Linked DNA regions of Tribolium castaneum. The protein of the gene in region 2 interacts with the protein of the main gene of each other region in a pairwise test. Links are inferred from orthologs where the notes say so. Each region holds a gene or a part of one and is shown on either strand. Other genes may lie near its edges.

Evidence for each region.
Region 1: the proteins of veli (region 2) and metro interact in a two-hybrid assay, tested with the Drosophila melanogaster proteins (2 studies listed by BioGRID). The link is inferred for Tribolium castaneum from reciprocal best matches to the Drosophila melanogaster genes veli and metro.

What each region holds. Positions count from the first base shown.
Region 1 is NC_087394.1:26,893,163-26,903,977, forward strand, and holds the start of metro (MAGUK p55 subfamily member 7), read right to left. Parts: upstream 5,092-10,815; 5' UTR 4,890-5,091; exon of another isoform or gene 4,856-4,889; intron 4,838-4,855; 5' UTR 4,569-4,837; coding exon 4,520-4,568; intron 4,290-4,519; coding exon 4,009-4,289; intron 1,022-4,008; coding exon 890-1,021; intron 764-889; coding exon 734-763; intron 627-733; coding exon 459-626; intron 409-458; coding exon 212-408; intron 1-211.
Region 2 is NC_087394.1:2,335,583-2,345,572, forward strand, and holds veli (protein lin-7 homolog C), read right to left. Parts: upstream 6,105-9,990; 5' UTR 5,984-6,104; coding exon 5,947-5,983; intron 5,897-5,946; coding exon 5,496-5,896; intron 5,449-5,495; coding exon 5,293-5,448; 3' UTR 4,962-5,292; downstream 1-4,961. Other genes in the region: angiopoietin-4, read left to right, coding at 2,303-2,394; ADP,ATP carrier protein 1, read right to left, coding at 6,790-7,032, 7,522-7,756, 7,809-8,070.

The DNA.
Region 1 (10,815 bases), about 25 Mb from region 2:
CTTTTTTCGAAAACTAAACATTAAACAACGTTTAAAATTTTATAAAACAAAAAATCTCCAAATTACTCAACGATTCTATTGAATTAACTTTTAATGTCCAAATACCGTACTCACTAGTCAGTAAGAGAATGATAACGTTTCAGAAAAACAGTTTAAAAGCTTTTAAGATGCAAAAATAAAAAAATATAATTTCCATTAAAAAAGAACTCACCAATAAGCGTCATCTTGCGACACGATGTGCAAGACGTCGCCTTTTCGAAAGTCCAACCCTGCCTCCTTACAGGGAATATACGGATCGTTTGAGGCCTCGTAGTCAAAATGGGCCCTCACTCGCACTTTGCTCTCCCGAACGTTCATTTTGCTGTCAGCAGGGACTAGTTTAAACGTAATTGTTCCCTCTGAATTTTGCTAAAATCCCCGAATTAATTTACGCAAATTGCGATCAAACAGAGCCGTACTAAAATACTAAGAACGTCGTTTGGTGTCTTGCCTTCAACATTTATGTAGTTCACTTCCACGACCTCGTCCCCCACGTGAATCAAACCGGAGCGGTCTGCAGCCCCTCCGTGCATCACTCGCGCTATGATTATTTTACCCGTTTCTTCGTCGGTTTTTATCGTGGCCCCCTGAACACGAAAAAACGCATTCAAAACATCGATAATTTCATTTTTAACAGAGAAAACAGCTATTGAAGATTTAAAAAAGGAAAACTGGTTGTTTCGTAAATACTTACGACTATTGGTTCAGCACTTTGTGCCCCAGTCTTTGCAAGAAACAAAAATTATTGTGTGAATATTTAGTTGGAAGAATTTGAGACTTGAGGATGGGACTAATTTTCTTATGCTTAAGACATGACAAAACTAAGGCTAATTAAGTTGGGGATACTCACCAAGGGTTCGTTACTTTTTACGAGCTGCACGATTTTTATGGTTTCTTCGTCTTCGTCAGCCTCCTGAGGTATTTCAGGCAAGTGAGGGTAATAATCTTTTTGGGCTATGGCGTCGTGGGAGTATAGCAATCCCTGAAAATTTTTGTTTTCAAAAATGTGAGTTAAAGCACAGGCCAGGAACGTTTATGCACTTTTTATGGTCTCCAGAGCCCGTTAAGAGCCTTAAAAGTACAAACAACGTTAACTGAACCGATTTTATAATGTTTGATTTGCGGTTAACGCGTTAACGTTTATCGGATAATAACTTCAGAATTATTAGGCGTAACCCCATTAAGTTTTTTTATTGATATGAGCTTCTTCTTCACTTTGTTATTCAAGCTATGATGAATGACTAAAAATTCACAAGTGTGTTAACAAATATTAGGGTCCATAAGAAGATAATATGCCGAAAAACATCAGATTTACCATCTCTTTGCAAAAATTGTTTAAAATAGCGAGCCAGACGCAAACCGTAGTGAAGTACATCTTGAAAACTATCACAAATTAAAGCTGTTTAAAGTAGTAAATTCAGCAAGCAATTTGAACTTTTTTAAATGTTTTTTTAATGGATTTCAAATTTTAAACGAATAATGTCTGTATTAAATAACTACAAGACTAACAATTTTTACAATTATTAAAATTAATCAAAGAAAGTAAAAAGTTTTAGAATTCTTCGTATAATTAAAAAAAATTATTTGTTAGTTTGACAAAATCATAAAGGTAATTAAAGTAATAAAGTAATTATATTACTCTTGTTACAGACCACGTTTACTAGTTGTCGAAAATTGTTTAATTACTGGAAAAAATAAGAATAACTTTGTTTTGGGAAATAGTCGTCCAAAGTGCTTTATTTTGGTTGGATCAAGTGTTTTCGCATTTGTTTAACTAAAACAAGTAATTTTTTACGTTTTCTGTCTTAAAAATCGCTTAAGAATAATTTGCGTCGCACTAATTTAGTCTTAAACGACCATCTTTGCATTTGCCTCGGATAAATTTCATTTTTAAAAAACAACAATTTGCCATATTTTAGCTAAAATCGACGAATTTCTCGGTGAAATATGTTAATTTTTATTAGTTTTATCAATGATCATAAAATAATGATAAGGAAAAAGTAGCGAAAGAAGCAGATGTAAAATAAAACAAAAACATTATCTGATTAAAAAAATGAATTTGGATATAATGGAGGCGTAATGTTTTGTTCAAAAGTAAAACAGGGAAAGATGAAAATTGGAAGAAATCTTAGAAAAAACAATTTCAAATATTTGAAGATATAGAAAACCTTTAGGTAAAATATACTCTGCTGAAAGTAGAGAAATATGTTAATTTTTATTAGTTTTATTATTGGTTATAAAATAATGATAAGAAAAAAGTAGCGAAAGGAGCTGATGTAAAATAAAACAGAAACATTATCTGATTAAAAAAATTAATTTGGATATAATGGAGGCGTAATGTTTTGTTCAAAAGTAAGACAGAGAAAGATGAAAATTGGAAGAAATCTTAGAAAAAACAATTTCAAATATTTGAAGATATAGAAAACCTTTAGGTGAAATATACTCTGCTGAAAGTATTTTTTGATTTATATCAAAAATTAGTAATAACAGGTTTGTTGTTAAACACATACTTTATCTATGTTTTTCTCAAAAATATTGAAATTAATCAATAATGATATCTGGTGTCATTCTAAAACATACCATGTTTAAATGACCCTCATATTTTTTAGGTAGTGCACATTAAGATTTCAAAAACAAATGAACATAAGTACAAATCTTGAAGATATTTTCATTCATTTCATTATGACCGCGTACATATTTTCAAATGAAATAAGACTATATTTGAGAAAATATTTGAACAAGGAAGAACATTATGCAAGGAGATGAAATAAGATACAAAATAACTTGAACTTCACAACCCAAAAATTTTATTTGTGTCAAATTAATCAATATGAAAACAAAACCACTACAAACACGATCAAAATACAAGAAAATGTATAAGAGAATTAAATTTTCTACAATTATTTGACGCCAATTCATTGAGTCATCCTCGTATCAGGTCAAACTAATTCCATTTTCTTAAATAATTTTGTTGTAATTGAGAAAATAATAAAAATGGACTTAAAGTATCTCAAAATTGATTGAAACACATCCCTTCTGAAATATTTTGATGTGCTCTTCACGACGAAATAAGATTTTTTCTCCTATAGCTATAATAGTTTCGCCGTAATCGGCGTTTAAAAGTAAACATTCCAAAATGTTCTTTGCGTTTTTCTCAAAAACTATAAGATTTAGAAAAAAATTTCTAAAAAAAAAAGCATAAAGCATTTAAAATTATCACTCTTTGTTAAAACCCAGAGCCGTTCCGGGCAACGGATTATATAAAAAATCTACCTTTAAAAATAAAATTCCTAGAACAAAATGGTTTGTTCCAGCGGATTTTACGGTTCATTTTACGTAATAGGTATCTAAACAAGTTTTTTACATTTGAAGTTTTGAGTTTTTTGCCAAAGATTATGATGGCAATTTCAGCTATTTAGTTTTTCACTAAAAAATCATAACTCGTCAACTAAAAAAGCTAGAACAAAATAGTTTATTTCAGCGAATTTTACGGTTCATCTAACGTAATATCTACAGGCTGTCCTGTAGATTTTTAATTTAAATAAAAATGACAAATTTTTTTTTCAGATTACTCTCGAAAAACTGACACCCAGTATACTAGTTTTTTACAAAAGTTGAATTTTCGAAATTTTTTGCCAAAAATTATTATCATTTCGAGAACTATTTAGCTTTTCACTAAAAAAATTCTAAATTCCGAAAATAAAGGTCTTAGAGAAAACGGTTTGGTCAGGTCAGCAAAAAACATTTTTGGACGAAACCTGTTTGCTTGTGTGCGAAAGCATGTCCTTGGACAAAATCTGCAGTCTAAAGTATTGATTAAGTTTATTTCGAACTATTATTCAGCGCCCAACTGATAACAATCTTGTTCGTCCCGAATTCCAACTTTGTGTAGAAAACACAATTCTAAACAATTTGTACACAAACGCCCAACGTTATGCAACACACATGACAGAACATGTACAACTGTACCTGCACGTGAGGTTTCTGAAGCAAATAAAACAACTCCTTGCATTCTTCGGAAACTTGCAATTTAGCCGCTAAAACTTCCAAAACATCCACCATAACATGCATCGATGTCGACAACATCGGGAAAAATTTATCGCTAGCGCCATTACTGATTATCTTATTGTGAACGTTAACTAAGGCATGAAGTTCCTTGGATTGTAATAATTCACTCAAAAATCCCAAATCTTCTTCCGTTGAGGGCAATTCCTTGGCTTGCTGCAGAGACGACAACAAGCGCGACAAAGCTGAAGAACCAGATTAGAGTAACATAGGGTATTTCAAGTTGGACGTCGCGAAGCGACGTCCAACTTGATAATCTAGTGGCCGTTGATTAAAAGATTATGTAAAACGAAGCGCCTCAAGTGAGAAATAAATGAAAGAATAAAAAATAGGAATAATCGTTTATTTCTAAAAAATACATGCATCTACAAAACCATAAAAAACGCTCTAAAAAACTGAACTAATCCGCTCTCACCTGGATCCCATTTTTCCTTAGTTCCATTGGCCATTAGCTCCGCTGTCATTCTACAATTGAGAACTCATCTGTTAAAACCGCAATACAAAATAATTAGAAAACTGAACAGAACTTTTGCACATTGCGTGACGCACAAGACTGGAAAGTCAACGACTTGACATCGTCGGTGTTTATTAAATAGGCGTGTGTAATTGTTCCACGACTATTATATTTTGCAATCCAAGCAAAAGATCTATTTTTACAAAAACTGCAGTTCTGTGCTAGAAATGCAACGACTAGTGACATGCGTGCAACCACAACTCGGGGGTCGATAATCGACTAAAAGGATTAAAATACCTTCTGGTTTGGTAATTATTATTGGATTTATCACCAACATTCCATTCCAAATCGTCTATTTCCTAATCTGCTAAATCTCCGACTCCAAACATGGCGTCTGACAGACTGACAGCCGATGCTACCAACAAATAGCAGCGCAAACCCCAAATTCAGGCGCATGCGGTCCTAGAGAGCTGTTTTTCAAACAGTTATTTTTTTTTTATAACATTTTAAGCCTTCTTTTCAATATGTGAACCCTAAATTATAAACACTATGTTAAAACACGTTTCCCATAGCAACATGTTTTTAAATTAAAATGTTCCAAGAAAAAAAAACTGAATAACACTTATGCGAAAAAGCTTAAAGTTCTCGGGTGTCTAGGTATGCAACTCGCATATGCTTGTTGCATAACGACAACTCTTAAACTTTAAGCTTGTGCTTTCACACTCGTATTATTTGCATTTTCTCAAACGCTTAAATTATTGCAAAAAAGGAAATCTCAAAAGTAGAGTATTGCTTTTTCAAGAGTTTTTGGATTAAAAACTTGTTTTCTTTCAACAATTTACAGCCAAAAAGGCAATTATGTTAAGGGAACTACTGAAAAATAAACCAAATTTAGGTCGGCAATGCTGTTACCTACACTTTCTTTCATGACTTTACCATGTTTTTAGCTATTTTTTTTGTGGGACCAAAAATCTAAATTAAGACCATTGATTAAAACAATTTTATTACATTGTTTTAGTATGTTTTTTTACCCGAAATAAAATTATTTTGCAAAAAAAAATTTTTGCGAAAATTTTAGCACTCTTTTGAGTTATAAAACTTAGGCCTAAAACTTAGGTTTTGACCTGTTTTCTAAGTATATTTAAAAAGCTTTCAACTCATGGAACTGTTCAGAACAACAGTTAAAGTATTAAGTACTCCACCGTTTTTTAAGGTACTTATGTAGATAATAATCTCACAAGTTTAACGTCCTTCAAAAGTTGAAATTTGTAGAGTTGGAAAAATTACTAGGGAAGGACCACAAATGAAACCAAACGAGAATTATGCAACGTTTCGTCTTATTACATAAGACATCATCAGGCTGAAGAACAAAAATATAACATCGACAATTTAAGTTTTATATTTTTCAATTGTCGTTGTAATAATAACTTGGTCTTCAGCCTGATGATGTCATGTAATAAAACGAAACGTTTCATAACTCTCTTTTAATTTCATTTATGGTCCTTCCCCAGTATTTTTTTCAACTCAACAAATTACGTAGATAAATATTAAAAAAAAATGATAAAAAAATTTCAACCCTGTCTGATGTCTTACGTAAAAATGTATTTACATATTACTTAATAGGTTTATATGCGATTTTCTCCTGTATTGAAGTTTGTATTATGAGTATATGAGTCTGTTTTATTTGATGAAGAAGATAAAAACAATCGCTTCGGTACTACTTCAGTACCCTAAAGCTTTAAAACAGTTATATGAATTGGAAAATTTTATGTGACCACATAAAATGGCCAATTTTTAAGGTAAGATATTTATAAAAAAAACTAGTCCACTTATTTATGGACGCTTTATGAAGCTGTGCGGAATTTCAAGTAAAATATCCAGGTTCTTAAAATTACTTAAAACACATAATAATCCAAGTAAAAGAGCAAAAATGACTTTTCTTGTGTTGGTAACATTTTATTGACTTCTTTTTATTGTCTGAATCCTAGATTATAAACACTATTTTGAAACACGTTTCAGATAGCTAAGTGTTTTCAGTATTTTTAAAATACAATGTTCCACCAAAAAAAAATTGAAAAACACTTATGCGAAAACGCTTAAAGTTCTCGAGTGTCTAGGTAAGCAACTCGCGTACGCTCGTTGCATAACGACAACCCTCGGACTCGTATACACTCGTATTATTAAAAACTATTTTGTTTTTGGAGCGTTTTATAACTCGTTTTAAATAAATTTAATCAAATAGAAAAATAATTTATTTTTACTGCATTTTTGGTTTAATCGGGTTGGTGGTAAGAAGTTCACCAATCACTTTAAAGGTATATGTGTTGCTTAGACAGCGCAAGCTTGTATTTTCTCCTTGGTGCTTTCTATATTGGAAAAAAGCATCAGAAATTATAAATGCTTATCTCAAGGATTACAGATTTTAAGCAAAGTGTTAGGGAAACCTGTAAGTGCCACCTGTCGGGTTATCAGAATGTTACGGAATAAAACAGCCAAGTTTAAAAGAAATGGAGTAAAAGTCGAGTTCATGTTTGAATTTTTACAATTTATTCTTATTTACCATACAGACATAAAATAATAGTAATAATAATGTGCATAAATCATGTAAAGAATGTAGACTGAACGCAAGTCTTATAAAAATATAAATAAAGAGACTGCACATATAATATGACTGATGCATACAACTGGGCGATTGCATGTAAGTTCAGACTGTCTCTACGAGTAGCACAACTTGAATGATAATAATTATTGCATACTGACTAAAGAGGCTATTTATAACTTTAGGTATGCTATGTTATATTTGCACTAACATCGAACTATATTATGTTTTAATAGTATACATTAAAATAAAGCTTTTACCTGAATTTTGAGTGGTTATACATCATATCTAAAAACTGCCGCCAATCTCACATCACTTTTGCTTACATAATTATAATAAAGTTAGGTATGTATGTATATAAATGTAATTTACAGAGATATGAAAAAGAACATGCCATTCAGGGTGATACCATACCAAAAAACAGATGAAAATGCAATTTTGTTCAATAACAATTTTGTGTCTCGGATGACATAAGTGGTCATAGTTTGGAAGGCACTTACTACTTTACTCGTTTTTGAACACATTAAGCCTAGTCTTTGAACCGAAAAACCTACTAAAAACTCAAACCGGGAGATGTACAGGGTGCCGCACTCTGCACGTCCAAACATTTCTTTTTTCTCAAAATAATTTCAGCAAAACCCACAGCCCACTATGCTTTTTTTGACTTTTAAACTTATAAAAAAAATTAATCTCCCTTTTATTGACATTTAAAGACTTTTTCCACAAAGCACAAAAAATATTGTATGTTACACCTCGCGTTATAGATTTAATACAATTCAATATTTTTACATGGCCTACTACAAACAAAAAGCAAATTATGTTTTTTTTTTAATTTGTTTAAAAACAAATAGACAAAGAAATCAGAAAAGGTAAGCTTTTTAAAAATGTCAGGGCCACCTACGACTTTCTTTTAAAAAATAGTTAAAACAATGGCAAAAAAATCGTCAGTTACATTATTAGTTCTTGTCAAAAAGTGTCTGTAAAACGTTTTTGTTTCAAATGGATATCTTTTATAATAAGGAAGATGTGAATTTTTTAAGACTTAGCTAAAATAAAGCTTTTGTTTATAATAAGTCTACAAAAGTAGATAGCGGTTTTGCCTAAATTATTTTTTCCAAAAGAGCTCCAGAATGTGGTTATCGGAGGTTTTAAGTGGGGCCAGCAAAGTGCATCACCTTGTGCAGAGAGATCCAAACAAGTACTGAAAGTTTAAAGGCCACTTTTTGAAAAATATCATATCACCTCATGCAAAAGTCAAACGACGAGCGTGGTAGACCCATAAATGGCAGGAAGGCATTTATAATTTCATTTAAATCGTAATAATTTCTCTTCTACATTTACAAGTTTTATATAAATTTTGTACATTATTTCATATCCTATCATCTAAACAAATCACAAAAATAATTTTTGTTGGCTCCGTGACTCCTAACACTAGCTGAAAGTATAAATGTTTATTTATCATGTTAATCAATGTGTGCTATTTGGTGAACTGAGGCGCAAATAATTGTGTTGCAGCAGCACTGAAGTTTGTCTTTATGTTCGAGTTGCACTACACTTTGTACATACACAACACCTACATTCACTATTGTTGCTACATTGTAACATATAATACATTTGGCATTGCTACAAGTCGGTAAATCATAGCTTCTTACCAAGTGGAAATGCATACTCAACAAACAGATTACCACATATTCTAGATTTACAACAGATAGTTTTTTCATAAAATTTTGATTTAGTTCGCGCGCTACAATATGTAACACCTGTTTGCCGCGACTGGAAATACAGAAGCTAAAGGCAGAATAATCAACAAAGCAATATCTCATCTTTAAATACATTTACATTTCTCTTTACAATATGTACTAAATAAATTAAACCATTTACAAAAGGAGACCAACTGAATACGAAATACTGATAGTAACTGACCATTTCTATTAAGTTCCATGTAACACGCCTATTAAACCTAGCTAAAACAGGAATTGTAATATTGCACTGAAAAAACACAGTGGCTGTCGTCCTCGTCTTGTCACTATTATTACAACACGTCGTCGATTACAATTAAACCTATCAAGTGACTTTGGTGTATTCTTAGTTATCTCATTTGTTTCATCATTATATAATAAAATAAACTCATATTTTGCTCCAATTATGCAAATTTCAAAAAATAAATATCTAACGCATCTGCACACTTAAACACTAAAATATAAATTACTAAAATAAATTAACTTTTTACAAAATATATTAAACTATTTATTTTTTAAGTAAGTATTTAAAGCAAGTCCCCAAAAATGTTTATTTCTCTTTATGGGTCGAGTCTTGCCAGAATTGCGACCAAATTTTATTTTTTGCCAGCAAAAAACAATTGTAATTACGTCTTGTGAACCGACACTGACCGTTCTAAATTTTCTCATTACACAAAATAGAGTTCCGGAGTCGTAAGTTTATGAGCACGCAGGACTAAAATTTTAGGCTAGACAGCGCCCGTTTACAGTGAAAAAAACAAAATCAAAAAGCTCTAAAGACACAATCAAAAATTTAAGTATTTTTTTTAATGAGAGAGGAAAAAATTGTAAAGATTTCAAAACATAAGCGAAAAATGATTAAACTAACTCGGTATATTTGGATTTTTTTTTAGCAAAAACTACCTATTGCTTGCCAACCTGTTCTAGACAATTTAATTTAACTTAAAAATGCGCTATTTTCATCTGTTTATAAAAAAGATTCTAGATCTAAATTAGACTTGAAGTATGTTTGGTTTGGCTTTGATCTTACTGAATTTAAAACTTTAGGAAAAATCACAAAATTGTGTTATTTTGTTTACAATATTAAGAAATTTTTCCAAAATAAAAGTAGGACAATCACTGATCAAAGTCTGAAAGCGGTATTAGTTTATGTCAAAGGCACTGAAATATTAAAAAAAAACACAGGAATAAGTTATTTTCAATTTAGAAACTAATCTAAATCCGAGAGATTAGAAATACGTTTGCTTTAATATTATATTATATGACTTTTCGATTGATTTTTTTCAGTCTCAACAAATTAAAAAAAAAATTCAATAAGGACAATAAGGAAAATGACCAAACTAAACTGATTTTCTACGATTTTAGAAGAGATTTTCAATGAAAAACACGCAAATTTTGAGAGGTTTTCTTAAAAGAAAAGCAGGTAAATCACTAAAATGAATCATTCTTGCTTATTTCATAGGTTAGAGCTTTTTACAATAACTTTCTAAATTCGATTTTTTTTTTCGTTTGTTGATATGAATTTAGAAACTGAAAAACTATCAAATGCGAAACATTTTGTAAAAGTAATGCAAAAAGTGCTAAATTAGGCATAAAACGAATAATCTCCGAAAGTTGAAATGTTTTTTTTTCTGTGAAATTCAGGAACGTAAGAAGCACTAACTTATGTTTGAAACGATTTGTTTTTCAGTTCTTTGGTAGATTTAAGTCAGATTTACTGTACATAACACCGAACTGCAATCAAATTTTAATTCCTGATTAATTAATTTAATGCAGTGCAAACTAGATACAGGAATTTAACTCCCACTAGTTCAATCTTGAATGTAATTTTAAAGCGTTGTCTGTAAATCAACAGATGAAATGTAAATCATTTTATTAAAACAAACAAGAAAACCACCAATTTCAATTCGAAAATGCAG
Region 2 (9,990 bases):
AAAGGTGCGGAAAACTACTGTTATTAAATAGTTTTGTGTTGTTAAAGTGATGGATTTTTTATTATATTTTTTATGTTTCCTGAAACGTTTCCTATAACGTATGCTGTGTATCAGAGAACTTATGCATAATTTTATACACACTTTGTATAAAGAAAATTGATTTCAGTCAATAAATAATGGCGACATTTTGTAGTAAGTAAGGATTCTTACGACCAAAAATGAAGAATGAAGCAATTTACAAAATCTGTTCTCAATTAAATAACTAGTTATCTAATCACCAATTAGTTATCGATTAGTTATAATATTAATTGTTTTAACTATATATTGATTAATCAATTCTTGTATTGTTCTATTTTAAAGTAGAAGTTATGATTTTAATTAATTTTAATTAAGCGCAAAAAAGTTGATCTAATAATTTATTATTTAAAAAAATGTTAAAATATAAATATACACTAAAATGTGCCAATGGCTTTCCTCTAAACCTCTTAGTTTCCAAATTAATTACAGTAGTTCTAGGAAATTCAAATTAATGTGATAACAAGTGTTTAAAAGAGAAAAAAGAAAAGAGACAAAAATTGTCCAAAAAAATAGTTTTTGGCTAAACAACATTGTTTAAATCCTCAAAAAAAAGGTAACAGTAACACTATTTTCAGTCAATTTGGCAATTTTTTGGGTAATTTTTATCGAAATTTCACGAAACAATTAAGCATTTGGAGATTTTTCGCATTATTTTCGTCAAAATTGCAAGAAATTATTGAATTTTCAATGAATTAAAAAATTACAATAAACAGAATAATAAGGTACAACTTTCTTCAACCCAGCATAGAATTTTTTAGCCAGATTTTGAAAAATTTCACAAAAAACTACGTTTTATTAAAAAAAAAGTATTTTAGATATTCGATAAATTGCAAAAAGTGCTCCATTTTTCAAATAATTTGATGAGTTTTTTCGTTTTTGACCGAAAAATCGACTAAACCGATAAAAACAATTCGTGTTTTTTTTTTGGCTATTTTATTGAAATCACGGAAAAATTTAAATTTCAAGCTGAAAAACGAAATTAAACCCTTGAAAAAGGCAATAGTGAAACTAAAATATCTCTAAAAAAACAATGGAAATTCTAGTAATTCCAAATTAAATCTAAGTTCAAAAAAAATGTTTCGTAATTCCAAATGATTCCTATTTTCAAATTAAGTTGTTTTGAAAAATTTGAATTCATTTGATAATAAGTGTTTAAATAACGAGATAAAATGCTCGAAGAAGGAAAAAAAAAACAAAATTGCCCAAAAATGAGTTTTTGGCTGAACAACTTTGTTCAAGTCCTTGAAAAAATAACAGTAACATTAATTTCAACCAATTTTGCAATTTTTTGGGAAATTGTTAACGCGTCCGTCGATTTTCGACTTATTTTCGTCAAAATTTCTGTGAGAAATTATTGAATTTTCCAGAAAAAAATGAGCTAAAATATATTTAAACAGTCCATATATTATAGAATTTATTAACACGATTTCATAAAATTTCTCAAAAAACTGCGTTTTTATTAAAAAATCAGTGTTTAAACACTCCATAAAGTGTAAAAGTAGCCCCGTTTTCAAAATAATTTGGTTAGTTTTTGAGTTTCTAATCGAAGAGTAAACTAAAACACTGAAAGAAATAGGGATTTTTTTACTTGGTTTAGTGAAATATCGGAAAAACTTAATTTTAAGCTGAAAAATGTACTTATACCCTTGAAAAAGGCATCACTGAAATTGTAGTAACTCCAAAAAAAAATCCATGGAAATTCCAGTAATTCCAAAATAATTTCAATAATTACAAATTAATTTTCGTAATTCCAAAATAATTCCTATAGCAATCTGGATAATTCTGAAAGAATTCCAATAATTTCAGAAAAAAATCCAGTAATTCACAAATGATTTATCCACAAGTGAAATTCCTGAAATTATCAAAAATGACACAAAAATTCCAACAATTCCGAAAATCTGTAGTAAAACCAGATGAGTTCCTTTAAATTCAACTTGAATTCCCGTAACTTTAACTTCGAAGAAAATCAATGTAATTTCCATTCCAAGTAATGCCAAGCAATGCCAAAAAGAATTCTAGTAATTCCAAAAGTATTTCCAGTAAGTACCTAATTCCAAAATACCTACTTCCGAAAAATTTCAAAAAAATTTCAAAATGTACAACTATTAATACCAGTAAACGACCCCTTTCTGGAAATACAGGGTGTTTCAAAAAATACTGGCAAACTTCGAAACTGCGAGAAAACCATTTTTATTTTATTGCTTTTGACTAAAAAAAATTGCAGGTATAGTCTGGTTCCGGTGGAGAGGCTGGGACTACACGCTGAAGAAGGCCATGATGATGATCAAACCGAAAGGACCAGTTACAACAACATAAAAAGTGGAAGAAAACTAGCCAATTTATAATCACCGGTCCATTTAATCATAAAATTCATCAATCATAAATCAATATTTATTTCGACACATCCGACACTTACCTATTTTAAATTACCTCATAGTATAGTATACTGAAAATGATTTTTCACAGAAATATTGCCTAGAACGGTTCTATCGACCAACGAATTTTCCCCAGTTGTATGTAAATATAAATGATAGAATTGTTCCTAATGTAGGTTAAGATTGTACATTTGCGCTCCCATCTTAGTTTTGTAAGGAGGTGTATTTGCATGTAGTTACACTAATACATACACAGAGACGCACACACATTTCCTGCACGATTTTTGCAAAAACTAACATTTACTAATAGCGAGGCAAAATGTGTTTAAAATTTCCGCTGATTATAAATTGGGAAAACACGAAAATGTTGAGGAAATTTAAGACTGTGTCGCTTATCGGAGGAAAGTTTCGTCGATAAGTTTGTATTAATGTAAGGTATTTTGTTGTGAGGCTAATGGGACATGAAATGCAATGTTCGTATTAGGCAGGTTAAAATCAAATCTTACCGTAGGTCTTGTACCTTAAGCGTTTTACATGGTTGTTGTAAATATTCTATTTCAGAGTTGTATAAATTAAATATATTTTAATATAATAAATTATGTTAAGTATTAACCAACCCGAGTTTCATTCCCCAGTTTAAATAATTATTCGATTCCTGGTACTCTCTGGAATACCGGGAATCTGTCCCTTTATACGCCGCCCGTGCACGTGTCATGAGATGTTTTAATTCGCCGATTTTTTCGGACTATTCTCGATTTCCAAGAAAATACATTTCAGTTGGTGTTTTCAAATCAAACGTAAAGGGTGTTTAGTCGAACTCAAGCAGTCGTAGAATAAAGTGTGTTCGATTAAAATATAAAATACGTGATGGATACTTGATACTGAACCACAGGAGAAAATACTTACGTGAGTTAGAAATTCTACTTAAAACTTTAACCAAAACTTGAAAAAATTAAATAGACGACGTGATATTACACTTATTTTACTTGATTTTTCAAAAATAAATAGGTTCTGCTCAAAGTAAAAATCGACTAAAATCTCGGTGAAACTGAAAGTGCATAAAATGTTCTTGGAACGAATTTCAAAAAATAATTTTGCTGATAAGTTAAAATTCTCCCCAGTAAATGGTTTTCGAGATAAAAGCGTTTAAAATTGCTGCTGGTGAGAATAAAAAATTAAACTGCCTGATAATTTATCCAAAAACTCGTAAAAATCAAATTTCGCTTGAACAAATCGTTTTGTTCTAGCCTAGGAGTTTTTTTTTGGAAAACTAAAAATGCCTCTGTAACCGAAGCCGTTGCCCGGGGCTGTCTTTTTTCTTCTTTTTATTTTGAAGCCCCCCTTTTGAGCCTTGGGACCATGCAAAAATTTCGTGGGGTGCAACTTTGGTTATCTCACGATTTTAAGTTTAAACCTTTGTTGAGATGCATTTTTTCTCATAAAACGCAACTGTGTCCATCGTTAATAGGCGAAATATTAAAATTATATTAATTTAAATTGTTTGGGCCTTATTTTTATTTTTTAAACTTGGTGACATTTATGCACGCTTGTTTATATGGTTGCATATGCAAGTTAAGGGTGAAAACTTTTTTACCACAAAAATCAACAAGTTGTTACTGGTTCTGCAAAATAGGGACCAAAGGATTAATAAAGAGCCTCATTTAGTCATTTATGACATGTTTCGAGGAAAAGGGTTACAAGCATTATTACACATTCAAGGGCTCAAATTTAATTGTCAAATTCACATTGGTGGTGAATTCGTTTAAAAAAGCTTGATTTCAAGGATTTTACAAAAGGAAAAACTGACCTTGTATTGGAGAAAAGGACGCAAAGCAGGAATAGGCAACAGGAAGCGGTGGAATCGGGTCGTTATTGAGTGTCTTTGCACTTTTGGGCACTAATTGTTCACATAATTGGTCTTAGAACTTTGAACTTTTAGTTTAACACAGTCACAAGTCTAGGAAAACACGAAATCAGACAAATTAAAAAAATAGACAAAAACGAAGCCACCCATGACTTTTGGCGGCTACTCAGTGTTTTTCCAGCGTTGCCAATCTAGTCGCACACAAAAATCCCTAAAGGAAAGCCGCGAATTGTGAATACAATTTTTTTTATTCGAATCACCACAACTAACCAGTGTTGTGTTTAATATTTTAAGTGTAAGTAACAGAAGTCTCAATACCACATTCACTTTCAACGAAAATCCCTGATCCGTAGTTGTGGGCTTTGTAAGGTTCGACTTAAAAGGCTCAAAACCTTTTATTTCAATTAATTGTTGATACTCAACGTTTATCTCACGTATTAGCTGTTTCAAAACTATAAAAACGCCACCGGCGCATTGTTTATGCACTTCAAAAAATTGATGTCTAATGTAATTTATAGTTTCAATGAGAAAGTTAATCCTTAATAATTTTTTTAAATTTTTTATCAACCTTATTTAAAAAATAATTCGGTAAAATACAACGTTGGGAGTTACTTAATAAATTTTATTAAAAAACAAAGAAACCATTTTGTTTTTTGTAATTATTTATTTAATACAACATAAATAACAAAAAAAATGGAAACATGTAATACTTGGATTACTTGTCAATACACGGGTACTTGAGATTCAGTACTTCTAGAGACCAGTGCACATCGTGCTAACTATACAATCATTCCTTAAATGCAACACAATCTAATAATAATAATATGTAATACCATATTTCGGTTAAATGTCTGGTCAAAGTAGCCTATGACTTTGAAATTTGGGTTTCTAACTTTGACTATCAAATTCAAACTACTAATAATTCAGTGTGGCCAACTTAATTTCTTTGTCATAGGCTACTCTGTCTAGTTATTTTTAATTGTACTGCTGCCGTCTTCTCGCCCTCTGTTTGTCGAACCTTAACTCCATCTCCTCCAAGACTTTGGGGGTGTACCTCACCACTAATTTGACAGAGCCATGGGCCTGTTTTAACAACTCCACTGCCTTTTCATGGTTTTCTCCTTCAACAGACTACCCCACAATTATTAATATTTACCCCTTTATCAAACCTCACTCACCACTCCATTGACACTCAATAACTGATCCCCTCGCTTCAGCCCCCCGTGCCGATCCGCCACACCCCCCGGAATAATCCTAGAAATATAAATGGGGGAATTCTGCTCCTTTCCCCCCATCACATTAAACCCTAAACCCTCCTCAGTCTTTGGCAGTTCCACGACTCTGGGGTGTGCATGTCCCTCACTGGCTGCGAAAGCTGCAACTGTGGCCTTAGCAGTGGCAGAGGCTCGCACGTCTTGAGACCCTTGAATATCAACAGTTTCGTAAACGTGCTCGTAGACCTCGCGCACTGCATTCAGAAAGTCGCTCTGGAGGACTTTCTGAAGGGCCGCGAGTTTAGTAGCCGGGACTTCGCCACTTTTCTGGAGCTTCTCCAAAAGCTCAACGGAACGCTTAATGTCTATGACAAACGTTGGAAAATTGCGTAAAATTAAGTAAAAATGTGATTACCTCGGTGGAGGGTCAATGGTTCGCCGATTTGGGCCATTTTTGCAAAATTGGGGCCAATCCTTTTGTTTGACAGGTAAATGACAGCTACGTTGGTACTAAACCAAAAACGTCAGATGTCCCTACATTTGTGCCTTCTGGCACTTGAAATTGATAAAACTTTTTATTGAAGGGATTCTTAAACTAAATCCAGAAAGAAGGATTTAGCAGGCAAATGAATAAGGCCGATTTAGCCAATTTATAAAAGCCACCCCTTTGAAATATTTTGGTTGGTATTAACTGTTACTCGCTTTGTTAGAGCAACAATAAAAGTCCCTAGATAATTTTAAATTTTGTAAAATGCTAACGGACGCTATTCATTTTAAATTTGCCTAAAAAAATGGGTCTGCGTGAGAAAAACTTGAGTGATTACGAGTGTCTTTATTGCCGAATTTACACAAATCAAGCTCATTTACAAGACAACTTTTTTACATTGTTTTGCGGTCAACGAAATGCATTCGACAACTGAATAAAACCACGTGACCTCAACTATATTAACAACTTTATTACGTCTCACACTACCAACAATAACGAAAAAAAACAATAATAAAGTAACTTATCACAACTGTTTATTGGTAAACGGCTGTTAAAATATACAGGATTTAAAATACAGGGCTATCAATACTTCAGCTTACAATGCCATTATTAAAACCGTGTAACGAAAAAAAATTGCTGGAATGTAAATTCCTGCGCCTGATAGTGTTAAAAAAAGGAATGTCGGCCTAAAAAATGCATCAACCACGGAATGAAACAAATAAATTATGAGACAATTAATAATTTAAACCGTAATAATTCTACTATTTCTGTTTAGAGCAAAGCTTTAAGCTCGTCGTATAGTACAAGAACCAAAGCTCCGCCAGTGCCACGGAGAACGTTAGAGAACGCTCCTTTGAAGAAGGCAGTTGGGCCTTCGGTTTTGCCGATCTTGATCCAGCAATCCAACGTATTCTTGTACATAATATCAGCTTTAGCGCGTCCAGACTGCATCATCATACGCCTTCTGACGGTGTCGAATGGATATGACGTAATTCCAGAAACTGTCGTTACGCACTGGCAAGAAAAACGTCATCAATACACACATCAAACAAATCACTAACAACTGATAGTCAATCAATGACATCAGTTAATGGGTAGTGGTAAACTAGAGTCATCAAAGTAGGCTCAGTTTTGTGTAACACATCATGTGTAATAACTTCAAGGACAAATTCATTCAATTCTTATAGGAACAGACGATCTAATCTTATCGCAATTGTTTATGGTGCAAAAAAACTGTTACAATATAGTTCTGAACTCTATTACACAAAGGTCAATTGTGATAAGAGTTATCTCGTCGCACGTCCACAATTGGAAGCAGATAAGAGAGGAATGTTACGACACTATTTCGTAACGAGGGATACCTTACTATTTCAGGATATAGGTCTTCGGATCAATTGCTTTCACTTTTTCAGCTTCAGCAACTGGAAATAACAACAAATCAAAGGTTAGGTGTGTGTCCTTTGCCCATCAATCAGTTCACCGGTTGGAGTCCAATATAATTACCTGTGCAATAAGGAATGAGATGAGGAACGGTGTGTTCTTGGGATCGGGCAACATTCCCTTGGCAGTATCGAAGAAGCCGAAGTAGGAGGCACGGTAGATGATGATACCTTGCACTGAGACAACGAAACCTCGGTACAAACCGATCGGTCCGTCCGATTTCACTGTCTTCTTAATGCAGTCCAGAAGGCCGGTGTACTGCCTTTCGCCCTTGCCTTTGCCGACATCGGCGCCCAAACTATCAAAAATGATTACATATAGCTGAGGAACTTAACAATTTAAAAACCTACCGAGTACGAGCGTAATCTAGAGGGTAGACGAAGCAAAGTGATGTCGCACCAGCGGCACCACCTGACGCCAAATTACCGGCGAAATACCTCCAAAATTGGGTGTTTTTGTCAACACCGCCCAAGAACATCTGTTTGTAGACATCCTTGAAGGCGAAGTTCAATGCCTGGGTTGGGAAATAACGGATCACGTTGGCGAGATTTCCACGCCAGAAACTGAAGAATCCCTGTTCTTTGGGGATACGGACCAGGCAATCGATGATCCCTACATGGAAAATTACGCGCTTAATGCATTATTCAAAGTGGGAAAAAACAAGGTCGGAGATTGCTGTGACTAACACTACTATTTGACCCAAACTAATCAACGACCTCTCAAACAATGAGTCCAAGAGATAAAATGCAATATGCGTTCAAAAAGGACTGTTTTACGTCAGATTGGTTAGTTAGCTAATCTAGAAATTGTAACTCAACAACAATTTACGTTATAGTCTCTAAAACTAAGCGAGATTGTAGAGTGGTTATAGACTGTTATTTTTTGGGGACGCCTTTTTTACAGTTCAGATTCTTTAGAAGTTAGAAAGGCGTCTATGAACTGGAAATATTTGCTAAATTTCCTTGAGAACAAGGAAATAGAGCCCGAAGAGATCGAATAGTTATATCTGGACGGTAACACAGTTAAGTCATCTTCTAGGGGATAAACTATTTCACAGCACAATACTGAAATCCCCAATTATAAAGTTACCACTGGAAATGAAGACTCGTGTGGTTATTGCGATTTTTGACTCATTTTTATGTAACAAGTGGGAGAAATGCCGTTCCCTGACAATAAAATGTTCCGAATTATTTCCAGAAGATTTATTTGATTTGTAAAGAAAGTGATAAAAATGAAATACCAATGAATTTTAACGAAATAAGTGTGAAAATCGTCGTTTTTGGCAAAAATAAACAGCCAAAAACACCCATAGTTCGATTATAAGTAAGAAATTGTCAAAAGTGGAGGTATTTCAACGAAAAACGTATTGTTTTTGTAGTATTAAAATATTGGGTATGTTATCATTCGACAGCGCTGATTCATAAATAAATTGGACTAGATAACAGAATACAATGTTGGAATCCTTCAAATTCAAGGTTATAAGCCGAAAAAATGAAGAGAACAAGAACAAAAACAACAAAGTTCTTTGCTACTAATGCATTGCAGACGAAAAAGAATTAAAATCAGCGGAAATGGACTAAAAATCTGCACTTTTAATGTCGAAACCAATATGGCTTTAAAAAGTGACAAGTCTAATTTATATAATAGTGTATTCAGATCTTTAAAATCTTTATAAACACAGGTAAAATGTGATCATTTAAATTTATAATTAGAATAGGCTTTGATACTTTTTTTAACTTACGTAAAAACACTGATTATCACAATTAGTATTGATTTTAGTATGAATTTTCCCCTCAATTTGGACAAGTTTTTCAATCATAAATAAACGCCTACTATAATTATAAATATAAATTCAAATGATCGCATGGTACAAGTTATATCCGATCGTTAATCTGATCTTTGAAAAAAAAAAAGTAGTTATCAAATTGTTTAAACAATAGAGCGTTTAAATAAAGCTAAGGAAATAAATACTTTTACTTGAAATAGTAAAAGATAAAGTAATATATATTTTATCAGACAGAAAAAGATAAAACTAATAAAAGCTTTTGCTATATTTTTATTCATACAACTAATTCATTTACTACAAATTATAAACTCAGCTGCCAACAAAATTTAAATTTCTACCGCCAATGAATTTTGCCTTAAGATGTCACTATTAATACAGTGTGATTCAAAGTGTTGGACATACCTAATTTCTAATATGTTTTCCTTGGCAACGGTATTGATTGTTGCTCTTTTGTTTCCTATGATGTCAAATTTGCAAGTTTTTTAAATGTTTTTCATTAGACATTAATTGTGTTTCTTTAATGATGCAAGAGCTGTTGTTTCCGCCATATCTCGCAAAAAAGCTTAAAAAAAATTTTGTCATATAATTCAGTTTGATGTGTGTTTGACAGCTTGTACGGTACTTTTGAATCAGCCTGTATATCTCGTGAAAAAAGGGTCCAAACAATTTCTTGCCGTAGGAACTTTTAATTTAGTTATCTCGTAGAGATTGTCCAATACTTTTGAATCTCCTGTATACTAAAGCAC